4 linked regions of the Canis lupus familiaris genome follow. The protein of the gene in region 3 interacts with the protein of the main gene of each other region in a pairwise test. Links are inferred from orthologs where the notes say so. Each region holds a gene or a part of one and is shown on either strand. Other genes may lie near its edges. The genes, in order: TFIP11, SOX30, CFAP206 and C15H1orf94.

Evidence for each region.
Region 1: the proteins of CFAP206 (region 3) and TFIP11 interact in binary tests that used the Homo sapiens proteins (3 or more experiments, as listed by UniProt). The two-hybrid records come from large-scale screens. The link is inferred for Canis lupus familiaris from reciprocal best matches to the Homo sapiens genes CFAP206 and TFIP11.
Region 2: the proteins of CFAP206 (region 3) and SOX30 interact in binary tests that used the Homo sapiens proteins (3 or more experiments, as listed by UniProt). The two-hybrid records come from large-scale screens. The link is inferred for Canis lupus familiaris from reciprocal best matches to the Homo sapiens genes CFAP206 and SOX30.
Region 4: the proteins of CFAP206 (region 3) and C15H1orf94 interact in binary tests that used the Homo sapiens proteins (3 or more experiments, as listed by UniProt). The two-hybrid records come from large-scale screens. The link is inferred for Canis lupus familiaris from reciprocal best matches to the Homo sapiens genes CFAP206 and C1orf94.

Annotation. Positions count from the first base shown.
Region 1 is NC_049247.1:20,594,514-20,600,330, reverse strand, and holds the start of TFIP11 (tuftelin-interacting protein 11), read left to right. Parts: upstream 1-2,054; 5' UTR 2,055-2,107; intron 2,108-3,791; 5' UTR 3,792-3,800; coding exon 3,801-4,009; intron 4,010-5,774; coding exon 5,775-5,817. UniProt on the Homo sapiens protein: Involved in pre-mRNA splicing, specifically in spliceosome disassembly during late-stage splicing events. Intron turnover seems to proceed through reactions in two lariat-intron associated complexes termed Intron Large (IL) and Intron Small (IS).
Region 2 is NC_049225.1:53,482,759-53,487,943, forward strand, and holds part of SOX30 (transcription factor SOX-30), read left to right. Parts: intron 1-1,626; coding exon 1,627-2,119; intron 2,120-5,185. UniProt on the Homo sapiens protein: Acts both as a transcriptional activator and a repressor. Binds to the DNA sequence 5'-ACAAT-3' and shows a preference for guanine residues surrounding this core motif. Binds to its own promoter and activates its own transcription.
Region 3 is NC_049233.1:47,170,646-47,175,830, reverse strand, and holds part of CFAP206 (cilia- and flagella-associated protein 206), read right to left. Parts: intron 3,741-5,185; coding exon 3,597-3,740; intron 51-3,596; coding exon 1-50. UniProt on the Homo sapiens protein: Essential for sperm motility and is involved in the regulation of the beating frequency of motile cilia on the epithelial cells of the respiratory tract. Required for the establishment of radial spokes in sperm flagella.
Region 4 is NC_049236.1:7,727,391-7,732,040, forward strand, and holds part of C15H1orf94 (uncharacterized protein C1orf94 homolog), read right to left. Parts: intron 3,589-4,650; coding exon 3,392-3,588; intron 1-3,391.

The sequences.
Region 1 (5,817 bases), on a different chromosome or scaffold from region 3:
AGGCTCAGGTCATGATCTCAGGGTCCTGGGATTGAGCCATGTGTCAGGCTTTATGCTCGGGGGAGAGTCTGCTTCTTCTCCCTTTGCCCTCTCCCCTTCCCCCTGCATTCATGCTCACTCATTCAAATAAATAAATAAATCTTAAAACAAAAATATCTAGGTACAAAGAGAACCTTTTTTCCCCCCTTAATAACTTGAGACTAAGTTGCCTACTTGATGCCCTATCACTCCCCTAAATACTTTAATATTTCCAGCAAAGACATTTTCCAGCGTAACCACAGGACGGCCATCAGAATCAGAAAATGAACACGGACACATCACTACCATGGAACTTCAGACCGCATTTAAATTTTGCCAGTTATCCCCATAACTTCGTTTACAGCAAAAAGGTCCAATTCAGAATCAGGTGTTGCGTTTACCGGTCATGTCTCCTTCGCCTTCTTCAGTCTGGAGCACTTCCAGGGTCTGTCTTTGACTTACATGCCTTGGGCACTCTTGAAGATCACAGGCCAGCTGTTTGGCAGAACATGTCTTTATTTGGGCTTGTCTCCAGTATCCTAGTGATTCTGTCCCAGGTATGCATCTTTGACAGGAATATCACGGGGGTGGTGCTACGACCTTCTCAGGACATCCTATCGCACAGTACATGAGGTCCACTTGCCCCGTTGTTGGGGATGCACAGCCTGATCCTGCGCTCAGAGCCTGTACTCCTAGTGACCCCTAGTGACCCCACCGTCCCCAGAGGCCCCTTCTCCAGAAGCCACGTGGAGGGTCCATCTGGTGAAGCAGATCCACTAGCATCAGCCCCTCGTGATCTGAGTAACTGCTGCTCCATGAAGTCAGCTGTAGAGCTGGAGAGAGAGCTACAGAGAAGCCAAGCGAGCTTCTATCTTTGGCTCTGGCCTATCACCAGATGCCTATACATTTCCAGGCCCAGACTCAACACGGTCTATCTGGTCTCCTTGTTTTTCCTCCCTCTGCTCCCTGGTGGAGCTTCTCCTCTGTTAGACTCTCTTCCCCTCCTGCCCTCTCTTCTATGAAACCTCACTTTCTAACATCTTTCCTGACTACACACTGTGTGTCGGCCTCGGTGACACACGTCAGTGGGGACGCAGAGACCACGGGAGTCACAGCGCGTGTTTCGAGAAGCTGGCAGTCGCTTGCCTTCCTGTGGGTTCTGGTTTCATTCACAACGGCGGGAAGTTGGATCCAGATCTTTGACTAAGAGCCGGGTGCGCTCCGTGTATTCTTAACAACTGCCGCTTGCACCTTTTCATCATAGGAAGGAGAGAGAAAGAACGTGAGCGAAGACTAGGGGCTGACACGCCTAGGCAGCCCTGTGCTTGCACATTTCATCTCCCCGGATCCTCAACCATTTTGCAGAAGAGGAAAGCGAGGCTTCCAGAGGCGCAGGGACTAGGGGGGCCCCGGGCCCGGGTGCTTGCGGGGTGCAGAGGCAGCCGCCACTCCCCGGGCGGCCCGAAGCCCTTGAGCCTCGGCCCGCGGGGCTCCGCACGGTCCTATCAATCGGTGAAGGAATGAAGGTCTCGACCACGGGCTGGGGGGCGGTTCCCGGAGGGAGCGCGTGGGGCCCTGGTCCGCCCGTCCCTGCGCTCTCAAGCTCCGCGCCCACCGCGGTGCTCGGCCAGGGGCCCCGACGGCACCCGAGACCTTGCTCCCGCCGGCAGCCTGGCCCCGCGCCCCGCGCCCCCCGCCCCGCGCCCCGCGGCCGCCCGCTGGCCCTCACCGCTGCCCCGTGCGCCAGTCCTCTAGCCCCTTTTACGCAGTCGAGTCTCAGACTGGCGGCGGGGTCCCCGCGGGCCGGGCGCGGCACGGAGGTCGGGGAGGTCGGGGAGGAGGTCGGGGAGGTCGGGGAGGTCCGGCAGCGCGCCCGCCGCCATCCGAGGCCCTGGAAGCCCCGCCTCCTCCCTCGCACTCGGCCCCGCCCCGTTGGAGCCCGGGACGCGCTCGCCCGTCGCGGCCGTGACGAAGAGCGCCCCGCGCCCGCCCCCGCCCCCTTGTACGTCATTTCCGGCGCGCCGCCGCGGGCACATCCGGGCTCCTGGCCTCCGGCCGGTAGCTGCGCTTGGACCCGGGACCTGCGGAGGTGAGCGGGGCGGGGGTGCGGGCAGCGGTGGGGCGTCCCCGCCGGCGGGCGTGAGTGCGGGGGACGCAGCCCCTCCGCGCAGCCTGCTCCAAGCCTGCTTTCGAGCGCCGTCGGCGCGGAACCGAGGCCCGGTGCTGCCCCTGGCTCGTCCGCCCCGCGCGGGCTCTTCGGGGGCCCGGGGAGGCCGAGGCGCTGCGGAGCCCCGAGTGCTCGGGGGCGCTTCCCTTCTGTGCGCCCCGCCAGCGTGGCGGGGGTGCAGTGAGCCGGGGAGCCTGGGGACTAGCGCCCGGACGCGCCGGCCCCCGCGAAGGCTGCTTGCCGCCCGCGGCTGTGGTGACGCCGCGACGCCGCCGCCGACCCGCCGGAGCTGGGGTTTCAGCAGTCCTCCCCGAGGTCCCCTCCCCAACCTACTGATAGTGGCGGTGAGGAACCTGATCTGGGGCTACCGTAACAGCCCTTGCTCCCGGAGCGTTTTTACTCTGAGCTTAGTATTTTAAATTTTTTAAGAAATACTTATTTGAGAGAGAACGTGAAGCGGGGTGGGGAGGGGCCGAGCTGGAGCGGAAGAAGCAGAGTCCCCGCCGAGCAAGGACCCCGAGGTCTTGACCTGAGCTTAAGGCAGATGCTTATCCAGCTGGCCCACCCAAGCACCCCTGAGCTAAGCGTCTTTTAGGCACCACCTCGTTTAATCTGGCTCACAGGCATTCCCAGAGGGTGGGGGTAGAGTCAGCTGAATCTCATCACTCAGCTACCAGGAGCTGAAATCTCTGTTAAGGTAGGGTTTATGCCTTCAGAAGAAGTTCATGTTTTGGGAGGAAAACTTTTAAGTCTTAGGGTCTCACCAAGTAATATACTTCAGGAAGCGTGTTCTAAAAACCATCACTCCCGGTGGTGAACCGCCAAGGGTCCAGATATAGTAACTCTTTCCTCATATTTAGTTGTTGTTGATCCTTCGTTTTGACTCCAGAGTAACTACATTTTTTTGTGAGATTGTAAAAGTACCATTGAAGTTACAACTAATTTAAGAAGAATGGGAGAAGGCCAGTTAGAAGCCTCAAATCTTCCAGCAAACATCTGGCATTCTGAGGTGACAGTGTCCGTGACAGGCGAGCCACCCAGTGCTGTAGAAGAAGAAAAAGAAACAGCTGAAGAACCGGAAAAAGAAGTCCTCCCAGACATCGTAGAGCCACTCTCCATTCTAGATGTGCTGAGGATCTCTGCGGTTCTGGAAGATACTGCAGACCAGCTCTCTATTCTAAACTATATCATGCCAGTTCAGTATGAAAGAAAACAAAGTGTCATCATGGTATTAAAAAAAAAGGGGGGGGGGTTCCAGGAAGATGCCCACCCCGTTTCTGAGGCAGTAATAAGTAGAATAACATACCGAGTTATTTTTTTGTGGGTTATTTAGGTGTGAGTGTGTGTAAAGTTTTATGACCTTGACCAGGACAGGGAATCGCATATTGTTGGGACCAGTCTTTTGTCCCACCTGTTTAAATAGTGTTTGTTTTCTGAAATATGTTTTTAATGTCTGCCTTATTGAACTGTTAACAATGATTTTTAATCATTGGGACTTTGAGTGTGAGGAAGTTTGAAGGGAGTGAGGAGCAGGGACGGAAGCCTACTGCTGCTCTCCCCTCAGGACTTACCACAAACCACGTGCCTTTTTTATTCCTTTCTTTAGTGACCTGTCATGTCACTGTCCCACTTGTACCGGGATGGGGAAGGCCACATGGATGATGATGACGATGAGCGGGAGAACTTTGAGATCACCGACTGGGATCTCCAGAATGAATTTAACCCCAACCGGCAGCGCCACTGGCAGACCAAGGAAGAGGCCACCTATGGAGTGTGGGCAGAGAGAGATTCAGATGAAGAGAGGCCCAGCTTTGGAGGCAAACGGTACTGGCCAGCATGAGACTGCTTCCTCCTCGCTTTAGGGAAGATGGGGGGTGGTGGGAAGATAGCCCACTAAATATACCTTTCTCCTGGCCTTACCAAGTCCTGTAGCTACGATATAAGCTAGGGAGGCCCAGCTTCCTCTTTGGCCGGAGTGCTGCTCTTTTGCTGATTTAACCATCACTTCATGTTTAACGAGCAGTTATATGTACCATGTCGTATACTGCAGCCCCATTCCTTTCCTTCTGGGAGCCCAGACGCTAGAGCATGGAGACACATTAATTGACAGCTCATACGATGGAAGTTTATAACTGATTTAGGACCTGAGAGAGAGAGAGTTTGGCCTATTCTGGGAGGTGAGGGAAGATTTCTCTAGAGAAGTGACTTTTGAGTTTCTATTACAGCAGAAGGTAATGAGGGTGGTAGGAGAGGCACGGGTATGCAGAGGCTCCTGAGGGGAGGCGGTGGGTGTCCACAGGGGTACAGAAAGCTTTGCAGGCTGCGGTGAGGGAGGGAGAGGGGGCATAGTTTGAGAAGAGGTCTGTGGTAGAGCGGATGATGTGGGCTGCACTTACCTTTGGAGAAGACCTGTCAGTGTGCAGAGTTGACAGGGAGCTGCAGGGGAAGAGGAAACTCCATGAGGCAGGAGAGGAGGATTCAGGCCAGTAGTCGTCCTCCCCAGTGTGAGAGGTCATGTGTGCAGTGGCCACAGCTCACTTGACCAGAGCGTGTAGCGAGTTTGGCTTTGTCTCTGTGTTTCGTCTGTGGTTTGTAGGCTCTAGCCCATTGACACTGTGCGTTTTTCACAAAGGAGGCTGGGGAGAAAGTATGGAGGTCAGATCAAGTCCTCATCTGGCAAGGAAACCTAAAAGTGGGTGATAAATAGATCAGAGGTCAGGAATTAACATTCTCTATAACCATAAGATAGTACCTTGTTCTGCACTCTACGTGCTTGGTATCCTTCACCTTGTGAGAAAAGTAGCATCATTATCATTCCTTTTTTCAGATTAAAAAACTGAGGCCAAAAGCACATAACCAGGCTGTAAGAAACTGGGCCTGACTCCTGAGTCTGGGTCTCTACGGCCTAAGTTACATTGCATTGTTTAGGAAAAAATGCTACTGCCATGGGGATGGTTAGTGACAAGTTGGTCATTTTATAAAGGTAACCAGGAAATAGGACATTGTAAGGACTGTTCTTGTGACAGTTGTCAACATTGATACTCTCTATCTCAGAGTTAATTTCTTAGGTATTTTACTTTAGTTTTCATACGCAAATAAAGGTAATGAAGGTGAAACTTTTCTAAGAGTTTGACCAATAAAATTGTTAATATACTTTGCATTCATACAGTTTCTTTTATTGTGTTTGATGATGTTTATCTATCCGAAGTTCTTTCTTGCTTGATTTCTGTACTTGAAACACGGGGTCCAAAACAAATGATTTTAAAGTTAATTTTAAAACATGTAAAAGAGTTGCGTTATCACATCATAGTTTGCATGGTGTCCTTTCACTTTTGTTGAGACAAAATCAATACAGTGTGTAAGATCATATATTGCTGTTTTAATCAACCTTGCACTGACAGGTAACAATGTTACCGTGATCACAGGAAGTCAGATCTGAGGCGCTTTTGGTCTAAGTGAATAGGTTACTCTTGTAAAATGGATCCCTGGAGTTCCCCTCTCGGGGGATCTCAAGCCGGCAGAGTGTCCACAAGGGATCGCTGCAGAAGGCTTCCTTAAGGCCCCCTGGGGGCTGTGTGTTTGCCCACAGGGCCCGCGACTACTCTGCACCAGTCAACTTCATCAGCGCCGGT
Region 2 (5,185 bases), on a different chromosome or scaffold from region 3:
TCTTAAGTTTTCAGTTTTGTGATTGTGGTAGGGATGGCAGACAAGCAAATAACAAAGATTTATACGATTTCGTGATAAGTTATAGATTTATGTGTTCTAAGGGAACATGGAAGAGGGAAATTACTTTATGTTTCATTGATCAGGAAAGTCCTAAGGCTGTACTTCACAGATGGGAGGGCACATAACTCTATAAACTAAGAATCAGGGTAGCTTCATTTAAACCCTATCCCTGTATTGTCTGTACTTCACTGGATCAGGGACCATCTCTGAAACAGAGAGATATATCCCTTAATTCCCTACCTGCAGGTTTAAGAGGAATATTACATTCCTTATCTGGAGAGAAAGAAGGAAGGAAAGGCCTTTGCTGGGCGAGGCTAAGAGAAAATGCACATTCCTCAGCCTCTCAAGAGACATTTCTAATCATAGAATCTGTTATTGAACTGCATCTTCTATATTAACAGAGATCTAGCTGCATTGGAATAAACCAGATCATGACTGTATTGCTATGGCTTCTCTCTCTATTTCTTTGGAAAAGTTTAGTTAACTTTAGGCTAACTGTGTTATTTGGATAACTCAGTAACTCAATTAGTAGTCATCTCTTGTTCAAGAACGTGATTGTTTCACCTACTTTTAAAAATTCTGCCATATTGGTTATGCCTTGCTGCAATAATACTCCTTTCATATCTGTCACAAATTGTTAACCTGTGGCAAATCCTGTTCTGTAATCACACTGACAGTGACTGCAATAAAGCAAAAATAATTTTACTGATTATTTTTTCAATCAAAAAATTAAATGTCATTTATAATTTAGTTTAAAATAGAGAAGTATATGAAATAGTAGAAAAATGACCCATATACCACCCTGAAACATCAATATTTAAAGTAAAGTTAATATATTTAGACAGTAGAAAATTCAAACAGTACCGATAGATACATAATGAAAGTGTAGCTTTTCTTTTTGCCCCATTGCCCTGTCCCTTCTCTCAGATGAGTGTTCCTTCACTGTCAGTAGTTTCATACAATTTTTTAAAGAAACATTCATATATACACATTAGCATTTGTATGTATTTATCTTTTACTCACTCAATTTATTTTTTTTAATTTTATTTATTTATTCATGAGAGAGACACACAGAGAGAGGCAGAGACACAGGCAGGGGGAGAAGCAGGCTCCATGCAGGGAGCCCGATGCGGGACTCGATCCCGGGTCTCCAGGACCACGCCCTGGGCTGAAGGCAGCACTAAACCGCTGAGCCATCTGGGGTGCCCTCAATCACTCAATTTTATTCATTTGTTTATCCATTCAAAAATATTTGTTGAGGGCCTGTTCTGTGCCATACAGAATTTTGAGCCCTAGGGATACAGCAGGGAGTAAAACAGAACAGGTCTTTCCTCTCTTGTCACTTAGAACTAGATGGTAAAGAGAGAGGAAAAAATGTAAAATAGGTGAACAAAGTGACTGATTTGTTCAAATACTATAAAGGAAATAGAGTGGTTTGATGTAGTAAAGTTATTAAGTAAGGTGGTTAGTGAAGGCTTCTGGTTGTACAGTTTATTAAATTCTGAAAAAAGAAAAACATGGATCAAATCAATTAATGCCAGACCTATGCTATTTTTATTTCTAAAGGTGATGCCCCACCTGCCATCCAGCTGCCCACACCTGCAGTCCAGCGCCCAAGCCCCATCTCACTTTTCCAGCCCAGCGTCTCCAGTACTGCCCAGGTGGCAGTCCAGGCTCCAAATCTGCCCCTCCGCCCAGCACTCCCACCCCAGCACTTTGCTGGGCCCTCCCAAACAGACACTCATCGGCTGCATTCTGGAGCCAGTTGCTCTGTGAAGAGACCCACGCCTGTCTCTCTGGAGAACACCAACAGGATTCCAACTAGTGCAAGTACTGCCCATGCCAGATTTGCAACCTCAACCATCCAACCTCCTAAGGAGTATCCCAGCGTTTCCACTTGTCCCAGAAGTGCACCAATCCCCCAGGCTCCTCCTATTCCACACTCACACGTATACCAGGCTCCTCCCCTTGGCCATCCAGCCACGTTGTTTGGGACACCGCCGCGATTCTCTTTTCATCACCCTTACTTCCTACCTGGACCGCACTATTTCCCATCAAGGTAAATGAACATTTTTTTCTTTCACCTAAAGATACAAACAGCTAATGAATGTTTACCTCGAAGGCACCCCTTTTTTACTTAAAAGGTACTTCCTCAATTCTGATTGGAATCTGGTTTAGATTAGAGGCTGAATAGAGGCCAAGCAGTTAACATAAATACATGAAGAAGGCTAGGTGAAGACTAGGACAGCCAATGAGAGTTCATGCCCTATCTAATAGGGTAGCTGCGACTCAGCTGTAGCTGATTGTTGCCATAAGTAATACAGTCTCCAATGTTATCAGATCAATTTTTCAGAAAAGTCAGTATTAAGAGTCCTTAAGATTAGTCACCCCTCTTTATCTTACTGTATAGAGTCGTGCTTCTCAGGCTTTTATATGTATATCAATCACATGTGATCCTGTTAAAATGCAGATTCTGAATCAGTAGGTCTGGGGTAGAGTAGTGTCCTATACCAGAGTATAGTAGGCCTGATATTCTACTTTTCTAACAGGCTCCCAAGTGATGCCAGTTCTGTTGGTTTGTAGACCACACTTTGAATAGAAAGGATACAGTAGAGTGCTTGGTCTGAGAGGTTAAATGACTTGTTCAAAGTTACACAGTGGTCTTTTTAACCAAAAAAAAATTATCATATAAATTATCGGTAAAATAATTAATTTTTATAAGGAAGCACCTAGGGAAAACAAATTTGTAACTTTTTATTTTGGAGTGATAGAATTTAGCTTCCTTGCAAACATTCTAATAGAGTATAACTTCTCTTTTTCAATTGATGTTAAATGTATAAAAAGAGACAGTTTCTATCGAAATTGGAGTGTTATATGTCTATTACCAATCTTCTACTGTTACATATTTAGTACAGTAAAATTATTTCCCACTTAGGCATACCAATAGCTCAAAGAACTTTTCAGGTAGATATTATGTTACTTCAATTCATAGTAGGATCACTTCTTTCAAGTCCTTATTCCAGTTTGCCACAACCATCCCCCATTTTGTAGCTTAGTGATGGTCAAGGGGATGGTGGCCCATGTTCTGGTCTGACTTTTTTGCTGTTAGAGGAGGCAATGCACACCTTTTTTTCTCAAAGCATTATGATTGTAAATTTTTACCTATTTGGTTGCTTCCTGAAGAATTGGTTCAAGGGCTTACCTTTGTTTCACTCACCTCAAAACATTCTCAGGTTTGAGTGGTCTTTCAAGTGGTGTTTGTGGAAAATTTTCAAAGACATATACTACTCACGGCTTTCTGGGGTAAGGGACAACAGATGGGGCAAGTATCAGGCCGACTGAAAGGCCAAGAAGAGACTGGGAAAGAAGGTACATGGGGAAATAAGGGCTTTGAAAAGTTCCCATGTACACTGGGATATCCAGAATGGCACATACATGTCCAGGGCTAGACACATATTAAACAAACACCTGATAAGATGGTAAGCTTTCACCTCTGACTGATTTTAGAGTCTGTGTAAGTAGGAAAAGAGGTCTGAGAAAAAATTGTAAATGGCCTGGCTAAGTGCTGAAGGAGTGCCCCAATTTGGACCAGTCTGCAAAGACTGAAGGGAAGGTGTTTTTTGCTCTGACTTGTTTTGTTTGGCTCTACAAAACAAAATATTTAAGGAAAGCTCTGCCAAGTCACTAGGTTAATGGAACAGAGACTTAAATAATCACAAAAGGCAAAGAATGAAGTCTTTACAAAAATAGCTTAGAAAAGTCACCAATGAAAAACACAAGTACAACTCAAAAGAAGCAACAACATCATACCCTGGGGAAGGACAGAAATCTGATTGTTATAAATACTACATGATAATATTCAAAATGTCCAGTTTTCAACAAAAAAACTACTAGGCATGCAAAGAAACAAGGCATGGTATTTCCAAGAAAAAAACTAAAGAAACTACCCCTGAGGAAGCTCAGATATTGGATTTACTAGACAAAGACTTTAAAACAACTGTCTTGAGCTAAAGGGAGCTAAAGAAAACTGACAGAGACTAAATTAAACCAGAACAGAGTATCACCAAATAGAGAAGAACATCAATAAAGATATAGAGATTATAAAAGGTAACCAAATAGAAATCCTGTTACTTAAAACTATAGTAACTGAAATAAAAAATCACTATGGAGATTCAGCAGCAGATTTGAGCAGGCAGAGGAATTAGTGAATCTGAAGATAGGTCAATTGAAATCATCTACTCTGAGAGGCAGAAGGAAAAAACAGTGAAGAAAAGTGAATAGAACCTTAGGTGGTGGTGTCCCACCATCCGGTATATGAATATAATCACCATGGGATTTCCAGGATAAGAGGAGAGAAAGGAAAAGGCAGAAAGAATATTTAAAGAAATAGTGGCCAAAAATGATCCAAATTTGAAGGAAGATATGAAACCAAGAAGTTCAATGAATAAAGATAAATTCAAAGAGATCCACAGAGATACATTATAATCAAACTGTTACATACCAAAGATAAAAAAAAAGAATCTTGAGTGCAGCAAGAGGAAAGTGACTTATCTTGTACGGTAGATTCTCAATAAGGCTAATAGCCAGTTTCTCATCAGAAACCATGAAGGACGAAGACGGTGGGATACATAGTGCTGAAAGAAAAAAAAAACATCAACAAGGAATTCTATAACTGACAAAGCATCCTTCAAAAATAAAGGAGAAATTAAACCCTTCTCAGGTAACAAAAGTTGTGAAAGTTCGTAACTAGTAGACATGTCTTACAAGAAATGCTAAAGGGACTACTTCAGACTGAAATAAAAAAAGACACTAGACAATAACTCAAAGCCAAACAAAGAAATAACACTGGTAAAGGTTACTACATAGGTACATATAAAACCCAATATTAGGGCAGCCTGGGTGGCTCAGAGGTTTAGAGCCGCCTTCGGCCCAGGGTGTGATCCTGGACACCTGGGATCGAATCCCACGTCAGGCTTCCTGCACGGAGCCTGTTTCTCTCTCTGTGTCTCTCATGAATGAATAAATAAATAAAATATTAAAAAAAAACAATATTATATTTTTAGTGAGTAACTTTTCTTTTTTCCCCTGTATTATTTAAAAGGCAAATGCATAAAACAATTACTAT
Region 3 (5,185 bases):
TGACTGAGATCGGTTTGTACTGAGTGAGTAACTTTCTGACGCAAATTGGCCTAAAAAGAAAGAGAATACACAGGAATTAGCCCATCTCTAAAGAACAAATAATATCAGCCTCATGTTTTTTCTCAATCCACAGAGAAATTAGCCCTACAACACAGTATTTTTCTACAAAACATTAAAACATTAGAAAAACTAGAACATAATAAATATCCTTTGTCAAGAGGTGGGAAAATACATAAAATGTTGAAAACAGACCCAAGGAAAGAACATACAGATTCAAACTTCACAGTGAGTTCACAATTATTTGTTAACACAATCTTCTAACTCCTTCATTATTATACTTTGAGATTCATACAACTTGGATTTTCCCACCATACTTGGTTTATTGTTTTAAAAGACAAAAATTTAAGATTTTCTTTGTCTTTTTTAAATGGACTTCACCCAAGACTTTTAATATAAAAAGTTCCGATGTCTTCAGGTTACATTTTACAGTATTCAACATCCTGCTTGCTCTTTTTATGGATTACTAGTAAACATGAAGTTAAACAGAGGACTCAGGCTGGGAAACAAAAAGAAGTTTATGAAAGGGAGACTAGAAAAAAAAAATGAAAGGGAGACTAGGATGTACTGAAGTAATAAGGAAGTCCTAGAAAAAAAGCTCAGAAGCATTAGAGCCTGTGAGTTCAAAAGCAGAGACCTCACATTCCAGATTTTGAGATATTGTGGGTGACTAAGAACTGAAACAATTTCCCCCACACTGAGTTTATTGTCAAGTGACTATGACTTGGCTATTCCATTGTCTTCATTAGCGTGATTTTACCACTCCAGGAGACCCTTGCCAAAGGGTCACTACAGAACATCCTGAAAGACATACCTTCAGTAGTAAGCATCAATGCACAGATTAAGCCCTCACATTCTTTCCACCCCTGCCCCATAAATCTTCACCTTCTATTCCCATTACTGCTGGGCTGGGTTTTTCATGATCTTTACCCAATCCAGTACAAGCCTTCATCCCATCCCCTGACCTACTCTTGGCATTGAAAGACCTGCCTTCCACCACATGTGGATTCTCAATAAATTCTGACCTTGCTGTTTCCCCTCAGGACACTATCAAGGCTCTGCTAGGGTGGTGGTTCCCCCTACAGCTTTAAGCACTACACTCAGTTTTGTCTTATCAGTAGGTTATATTGCTAATATATGGGGAACTGGCATTCAACATAACATAATTCTAGAGCATAATTAGGTCTACAGTGGGAATCAGAATGAAGTGGAGGCTGAGGAATGGGAAGAGAGGGTTCAGTCAGTACACAGTGCAGCCCCACCAAATACCCCGTTCTCTTAACATTTCCAGCCCAGACCTATGCTGGCACCTCTACCTCTCCTATCCTATCCAACCATCACTCCCCTCTTCTCTTTTGCCTTTTTATACCTCAGACCAATTTAAAATGTCACTGAAGTTAATTCTTATTTCACTTCTGTTACATAACTTACCAAGAGGTACTGAAATATTTTTAGTGTATCAATGTCACTTGCGAGACAATTAGCTTCTGAAGAACAAAGCAGTGATATCTATGTTACCTAGTATATATCCAGTGGGCTCAAGTGAGTTTAGTAGATGACAGTAAAGAACATCAGGATGAAGCTTCATGAACTACGGAAGAGTAACTGATAGGAATATTAGCATTCCTATCAGTTACTCTTCCGTAGTTCATAGGAACAAGGATCTGGAAGGTATACCAAGAAACTGATCCTTCCTCATCTCAGGAAATCAAGGGACTGAAAAGCTGCCACCAGAAAGGACAGCAAGAAAAATGTCAAGGATGGTGAAAAGCCTATAAGACACAGAATATACAAATGGACAAAGGCTAGACCTTATATGACAATAGAACTCTGACCCACAACCTCTGTAGCCATAGCTATCAGCACAGAAGAGGCAGGATTTGACTAGCTTCCCTATTTTTTGCTGCCTCCACCATTCAATTAAGGAACAACCAGAGAAAGCCAACTATGCCCACCAAACCAATCATATAAAAGTTCCCACTTAGAGTTAGCCCACGTCCAGTTTTCCCATGTCAACAACATCCAATCAGAGAATGCCTGAAGCTTTCCCCTTTTTTTTCACTATAAAGCTTCCCCACTTCCCCTGCCCACTTTGGAGCTCCCGCCAACTGCAAGTAATGGTGGCTGACTCCCTTGCTATAGCAAACTTTGAATAAATCGCCTCTGTTCTCATTTGGGTAGTCTTTGTTTATTTCCATACCCCATTTTAAAGAGAGAGATAAAATATACTAAGAAAAGGCTACAGATATAAAAGGGTTTATTTCCTTCAGACTCTAAATACTTGTTTAAAATGACGAGGTACTATAGAAAGAATGAGTGGGAGGAATTCCCGAATCAGACAGGGATGAGAGTTTCAAAACCATCATTTGAGGGCATGCACCTCTTATGATTAGTGACTGAGAATCAGAAGGATGAGAGAGATCAATGCCTGTAGAGAACATGTTAACAACAGGAGGGGACAGTAGCTGTGATATAACAGAGATAACCTTCTGCTCCTCAAAAAAAAAAAAAAAAAAAAAAAAAAAAAAAAAATCCAAAAGAGGACATTGAGAGTGCTTTAAATGCTAGAACCTCATAGATTTGCACAATAGATGGGTATAGAAAGAGAGAGTGGGGGATCCCTGGGTGGCTCAACAGTTTAGTGCTGTCTTCAGCCCAGGGCCTGATCCTGGGGCCCTGGGATCAAGTCCCACACGGGGCTCCCTGCATGGAGCCTGCTTTTCCCTCTGCCTGTGTCTCTGCCTCTCTGCCTCTCTGTCTCTGTCTCTCTCTCTCTCTCTCTGTGTGCCTCCCATGAAAAAATAAATAAAATCTTAAAAACAAAACAAAACAAAACAAAAAAAGAGTGAGCAGCTACCATTGTTCTAGTTACTGGACTGTATAATTGGAGAATAGTTTCATGTTTCTGTATATGCTTAAAATTAGAAGACAATAAAAAAAATTAGAAGACAATCTTGCGACGTAAAGCTGGCAAATTATTTGTGAAGAACTCCATGTACAACTTATTGGCTTTAATAAATAGTTTAAATCACTAACTCTATGAGTAACAATACATTAAAGTTCCCCAACCTATAGCTCTCAGCCTTAGTGTCATCTTCTCGGAAACTCCCGAACCAAGTGAGCCAAGTGGAGGAAGAAGCAAATATGCAGACTGAAGTGAGAAAGATGAGGCAGAGGCCCAAGCAAACAGGTAACTTGTACACCCATGGAAGCCACAGGAGCAGACACAAGGAAAGCCAGAGGCCAGGGACACTGGTACAAATTGTTGGACTGCATGCTGACTTTCTAGAACTTGATTCAATGGATCTTGAATATTCATTGCCATCTGATCACAACAATATCTTGGAGAAACCCACCTTGCTCATACCAAAACAGTCCCCTTTGGTCCTATGCCCTGGACCTGTGGCTTGAGGACTAACACTGTTTTCATTTGTGGCTGAATGTAACATATATACAATAAGTCATCTCTTCTGCTGTCTTAGCTAAAGAAAAAACAATCCTCCAACCTATAAATAATTTTAGAAAATATTGTTACAAACCAATTTTATAGCTTTTCTTCTTAATTCCCATTCATTCCACTCATACGATCTCACAATGGTTGGTGGCAATATGTGTGTATCCGTCTGAGTGCTACTTTCACACTTTGTAATTGGTTTTATATAATGTTTGTCAACATCCTTCATCTAAAGAAATAAAGTTTTGTAATTAGTACTTATTAAAAAAATAAACATTATTTAGGGAGAACAAAAAATATTTATCTAAACAAAAAGATTAGAAAAACAAGAATTTTTGAACATGGAATATACTCATAAAGACAGCAGAGAAAACAAGCTGATAGTAGTGAGCTAAATGTGATAACTTTCCTGGGCATTATGACTCTCTTTGCACCTAACTTTGAGGTATATTTTGGAAGAGGAAAACCTAACATCACTCATTCCTAAGTCAAATGCCCTTCTCACAATTGGTGGCATAAGTGAATACTTGGTTGAAAACTGACAGAAGTTTAAAATAGCCATTAAATATTAAATATGAGGGGGCAGCCCAGGTGGCTCAGCGGTTTAGCGCCACCTTCAGCCCAGGGCATGATCCTGGGGACCCGGGATGGAGCCTGCTTCTCCCTCTGCCTATGTCTCTGCCTCTCTCTGTGTCTCTCATGAAAAAATAAATTTAAAAATAAAAAAATTAAATATGAATCACATTTGTTTAAAGTATCAAAACATCTTTAGGATATATACATATTTTAATGATAGTTGATGATGGGACTTTTATTTTTTGTTGTTTATTTTTTAATTTAAATTCAATTTGCGGGATCCCTGGGTGGCGCAGCGGTTTGGCGCCTGCCTTTGGCCCAGGGCACGATCCTGGAGACCGGGATCGAATCCCACGTCAGGCTCCCGGTGCATGGAGCCTGCTTCTCCCTCTGCCTGTGTCTCTGCGCCTCTCTCTCTCTCTCTGTGACTATCATAAATAAATAAAAATTTTAAAAAAAAAAAAAAAAAAAAAAAAAAAAAAAAAATAAATTCAATTTGCCAACATATAGTGTAATACCCAGTGCTCATCCCATCAAGTGCTCTCCTCAGTGCCCATCACCCAGTTACCCCATCCCCCCACCTACCTCCCCTTCCGCAACCCTTTGTTTCTCAGAGTTAGCAGTCTCTCATGGTTTGTCTCCCTAATTTTTCTCACTCAGTTCCCCTCCTTTCCCTTATAATCCCTTTCACTATTTCTTATATTCCACGTATAAGTGAAACCATATGATGATTGTCCTTCTCCGATTGACTTATTTCACTCAGCATAATACCCTTCAGCTGATGATGGGATTTTTTAAAGTTCATTTATTTATAATCTCTGTACCCAATGTGGAGTTTGAATTTATGACCCTGAGAAGAGAGTTGCATTCAGTAGCAACTAAGCCAGCCAGGAGCCTCTAGGATAAGGATATACCTTAAACTCAAACTATGCATACACAGCATATTATCCAAGGTGGCTTTGTTTTAGTTAGATATTTTGATTTTCTGCTAGAGAACCCACAGCGTCACTATTAAAACATTAAATATTAACTCCAAGCTAAACAAGATACGATTATGCTGTATATGAAATTGTTGGAGAGGATGGTAGAGTTTAAGGA
Region 4 (4,650 bases), on a different chromosome or scaffold from region 3:
TCGGGCCTTCCTGCGGCTGGTGCTCAGAGCAGGAGACAATCGCGAATTAATGAAAGAAAAAAGAAAAAAAAGGGGGGGGGGGGGGAGAGAGGGTGAGGGAGGGAAGAAGCGATGGGAACAAACCGGCGCCCTGAGGGGCTGGGGCAAGCTGGGCTTCGGGTTAGTTTGATTCGCTTTTCACTAAGTAAATCCCAAGAGAGCGGGGACGATATCCGCCTGGTGTGCAGCCCAGGACCTGGCACGAGGAGGGGCCTCTGCTGGCGCCCCCCTCCTCACCCCCAGCCCTTCCTCCCTCTGCCCCAAACTCACACTCAAAGGAACTGATGGAGACTCAGGTCGGGCCAGGACGCCCCGGATTCTGTGCTGGTTTATGAAACAAAAACTGGAACCCGCACCTCAGCCTAATAACCATCGGTAATGAATCACTGGGGACACGCCTGACCGCTGATGCCACGTCCCCGCGCAGCCAGGCCACCCGGCGGGGGGGTGGGGGATGCTCTGGGGGGCTCACCTGCCCGGGGCCTGGTCTGCACACGACACTCGCCAGAGTGTCAGAGGGAGCCGGGGGTCCTGGGGGCGAGGGGCATCAGGGAAGGCTTCCTGGAGGAAGAGCACCAGCGCCCTGGCCTGGGGCATGGTTGCCGGCAGCAGCCTCCCCGCTGGCACTGCCTGTGCCACTAGGACCTGTGCTCCTTTCACCCTCGAGCTTGTTATGTGTGGGAGGTAAGGGCATGGTAATGGATGGGGCAGGGAGGGGGGAAGGTGAGTGGGAAGGGAGGGGGTGAGGGGGCGGGGGAGAGGCAAGGGAGGGAAGAGGACAGGAGGAGCGGGGGGGGGGGGGGGGGGGGGGGGGGAGCAGAGGAGGAGGGGGAGGGGTGGGAGAGGAGGAGCTGGAGGGAGTGGGGGAGGAGGGAATAGGGGGGCAAAGGGGGTATGGAAGCGGGGGTAGGGGGTGTTGGACCATGACAAAGAGCCAAGAGCTCACAGAGAGAGGCCAGGAGGGGTAGGGGGGCCGCCTCATCCCCGGAGCCCTGCTCCTCCCACCGGCCTCTCCCCTGCCCCTGCCCGTCCCCCAGCCACGCCATCCCCGACGCCCTCATCCCCCGTCCCCCCAATGGCCTCGAGTGGTTCCCCCAGCCCTGCTCCCCCCACATCCTCCAGGAAATGCCTCCTCCTCTGCCCCCCATGCCCCGCCCCCCTACAGCAGCCCAGCGGGGTAGGCCTGCACCCCTGCCTGAGCCCCGCTCCTGGTGCAGACTCGGTGCAGGCCACCTCACCCCCACCCGGGGAAGTTTCACCAGCTCCCCAGGGCCTGACCCGACGCCTGGCCGTGCCCCCCAGGCCCTGCTGCCCCTGCTCCCGCGGCCACTCCCCCTCCTCCCCCCCCCAGGGCTCCGGCTGCAGGCCCACCTCCCACCTCGGGGCCACTACCCCGACGCACAGCTCCCCTATGTACCTGTCGCTTCATTCAGACCCAGCTCCGGAGGTGGCCCTCCCTCATTCTCCGTCCTCCCCCGGCCCCTGCCTTCCTTTCCTGCTGCCTTATTGCTCCCCGTGAAGGAGACCAAGAAGGCCTTTTGCCTCGCTCCTTCCTTCCCTCCAGGAAGCGCTGCCCACGACCAGTCATGCTCTTGGGGGAGCATGCGGCCTGCGCCGCGCCCCTTCCCTGGCGTCCCCAGCCCCTTCGGCCACCGCCCACCCTGCCGACTATGCCTCCCCCATGGCACCATCCTCCAGCGCCCAGCATCTCTGCCCGCAGCCAGGGCCCGGGTGGGGGCCCTCCTCCCCTCCTTCCCCGCGGTGGTGCTTTTTTTTTTTTTTTTTTAAATTTTTATTTATTAAATTTTTATTTATTTATGATAGTCACACAGAGAGAGAGGATGGGGGAGAGAGAGAGAGAGAGGCAGAGACATAGGCAGAGGGAGAAGCAGGCTCCATGCACCGGGAGCCCGACGTGAGATTCGATCCCAGGTTTCCAGGATCGCGCCCTGGGCCAAAGGCAGGCGCTAAACCGCTGCGCCACCCAGGGTGCACCAGGCTGCAGGCCCCGGGCCTCCCAGTCAGAGCGTTTAACACCCAAACCCAACCTCCCTTTCTAATCCTATTTTCCACCTTTTTAGGGGTAAATCAAATACTTCAAGCACACACCTCTGCTGCCCCAGCCTCATGCTTGTGTCCATCCGTGTGAGGGCTGCACCCCCCTGTGAGGGCTGCACCCCCCTCCCCTCCTCCCACGGCTGCTCCCTGGGGCCTCGCAGGTCCACCCCCCCCCCCAAACAGCGGGTCATGCCACCGCCCCGGGCCCCGGGGTGCTCCCCACATCTCAGCCACTCAGTCTCTGAAGGGAGGAACCTCGTCCTAGTCCGCTGTGGGTTCCCTGCAGGCTACATCCCCATCAACCACAGGACCCGACACAGAGCTTGGGGGGCAGGGGGTGCAGATGACATGCACCCTCGTCTGCGGTAGGAGAAGCAGAAAAGATGGGGAGGGAGGAAGGAGGGAGGAAAAAGAGAAAAGGAGAAAGAAAATGGGCTGTGGATTTGGGGCTCAGGTGAGGCCACCGACCCCACCCCAGGAACATTTCCCAGACACTTCAGCAATGAAGCCATCTGAGGGCCCCGATGGGTAAGAAACCCATTCACCTGTGTTTCCCTCAGCTCTTCCCAAGCATCCTGACCACAGAAACCTCTCGCTAACGTATCGTCCTTTTACAAGACGCAGGACTGAGAGGGTGAGGGTCTGGGGGTGCCTGGGGGGCACCACAGCGGGGGTCTGTGCGGGGACGTGGAAGGCTGGGGACCAACGGCCCTAATCCCGGCAGCGGAGTTTCCCAAGATTAGACACGCCTCCCCAGGGTGTGTGGGGACTGGGGTCCCCAGGGGGACCCCAGGTCCCGCCCTCCTCCCGGCCTCAAATATGAGCTGAAGGTTTGCAGGTGCGAGTGGGCGACCGCCGGCCTTTCATTTAGGACAACAGCCGTCGTGGAAAGTGTGTGTCGAGGTTTGCATCACCCGCGAAGCCCTGCCCCCGCTGCTGGGCCTGCTACACCCTCCGCAGGATGTGGGGGCGACTGGCCTGCGAGGGAGCTCAGGGTCCCCCGCGACGCAGGGAGCCCAGCAAACGGGCCTCGGGGCCTCAGCAGATGGGTCCTGCTCCACTGCCGGCCCCGCTGCAGGCCGAGTGCCCACGTCCACGGCCGCGTGGCTAGGATCCCCTGGGCCCGTGGCCCTGAGCAGCCTGGCCTGCGCACCAGCTCCCTCCGGCACCCATGGCTGGGGACAGGCCAGGGCCCCTCCCTCCCCAGGACCCTGCAACGCGAGAACCAGCTCCCCTCCCGGCCCTGTAGCTTCCCGCGAGCGAGGTGCACCCGAGGAGGGGGCTGAGGACTCACCCGTACGCCTGGGGGACCACGTACTGTGGCCCGTCTCCCGCCATCGGGGAAGGGTCGCGGGGATGGCTGCACAGCTTTGGAGGTGTCCTCTGAGGGTGCGGGTAGCCGGGCTGGACGAAGGGGATGTAGCTCAGCAGGGGGGCGTAGGAAGAGCGGAACACCTGCTGTCCCACCTGCTGTGGGCTGTACGGCGTCACCTGCAGGTCACAGACGAGAGGGGCCGCGTCCACCAGAGCCCGCTGCTTCCGAACCTCCGGGGCCTCGCTCGGACCCCCCAGCCTTAACCCCGGAGCGGCGGGCGTGCGGGAGGCCCTGCGAGGACTGTGGCGAAGCCCGAGCCTCCCCCCTGCGCCTGGCTGCCAAGGTGCCCAGGTCACCCGGGCCTCAGTTTCCCCGTTGGCAGGAGGGCGAACGCTCCCTCCGCGGCACGGACACCGAGTTGGCCGACAGCAGCCTGATGAACAGCAAATGGACTTTATTTCCGTTCTCTGCGCTGCCCTCCCCACCCCATCCCCTGCCAATAGCTGCCCCTGAGAGCCCTCATTCATTTTTACCTAAAAAAAAAAAAAAAAAAAAAAAGGTCTGTTGAGATTTCTACAGCCCCGGCTTCGACCCAGCCCCCCGGTACTTGGGCCACCACCCACCAGCGGAGACTTGCGGCCACTTGAGCTGCGGCTGCCGCAAAGGGCGAGGAGCTGAAGGTGCACGCTCACGGTAACCGGTGTGGGTTGAGGTGGCCGCCTGGGGCCAGCGGCAGCGTCGTACAGCGGGATCCAGGCTCCATAGAGCTCAGCCCCCGCCCCCCGCCCCCCGGATCCGACCTCCACCAAGAGCCGGGGCCCCGGCGGTCTCATCGAGCGTCGTCTTCTCGGCCCTGGGACGGGGCTGGGCCAAATAAGCTGCTCCATAAACATGCGTTAAATGAAGGAGCACGAGAAAAAAGGAGGGGAGAGGGCAAAGAAGAGGCCACTCAGGGTCCGCTTGAATCCCTGCAATGATGGGGAGCTCGTTACTTTGCAGGCACTGTATTCTACAAACGTCAGAAGACCCTCTCCTGTACGGGGTGACATCCGTCCTCCCGCACGCTGAAGGGAGCTGCAGTCAAAGCGAGGGAAACTTCTGGACGTCGTCTTTAAAAGCAAGAGTCCGGTGTCCAAGCCGCCCGGGGACCCAGCACAGTGACAGCCCTCTCTCACCCTGCGGATCCTTCTCTAATTTAAAAAAAAAAAAAAAAAAAAAAAAGATCGCAAAGGCTGGGG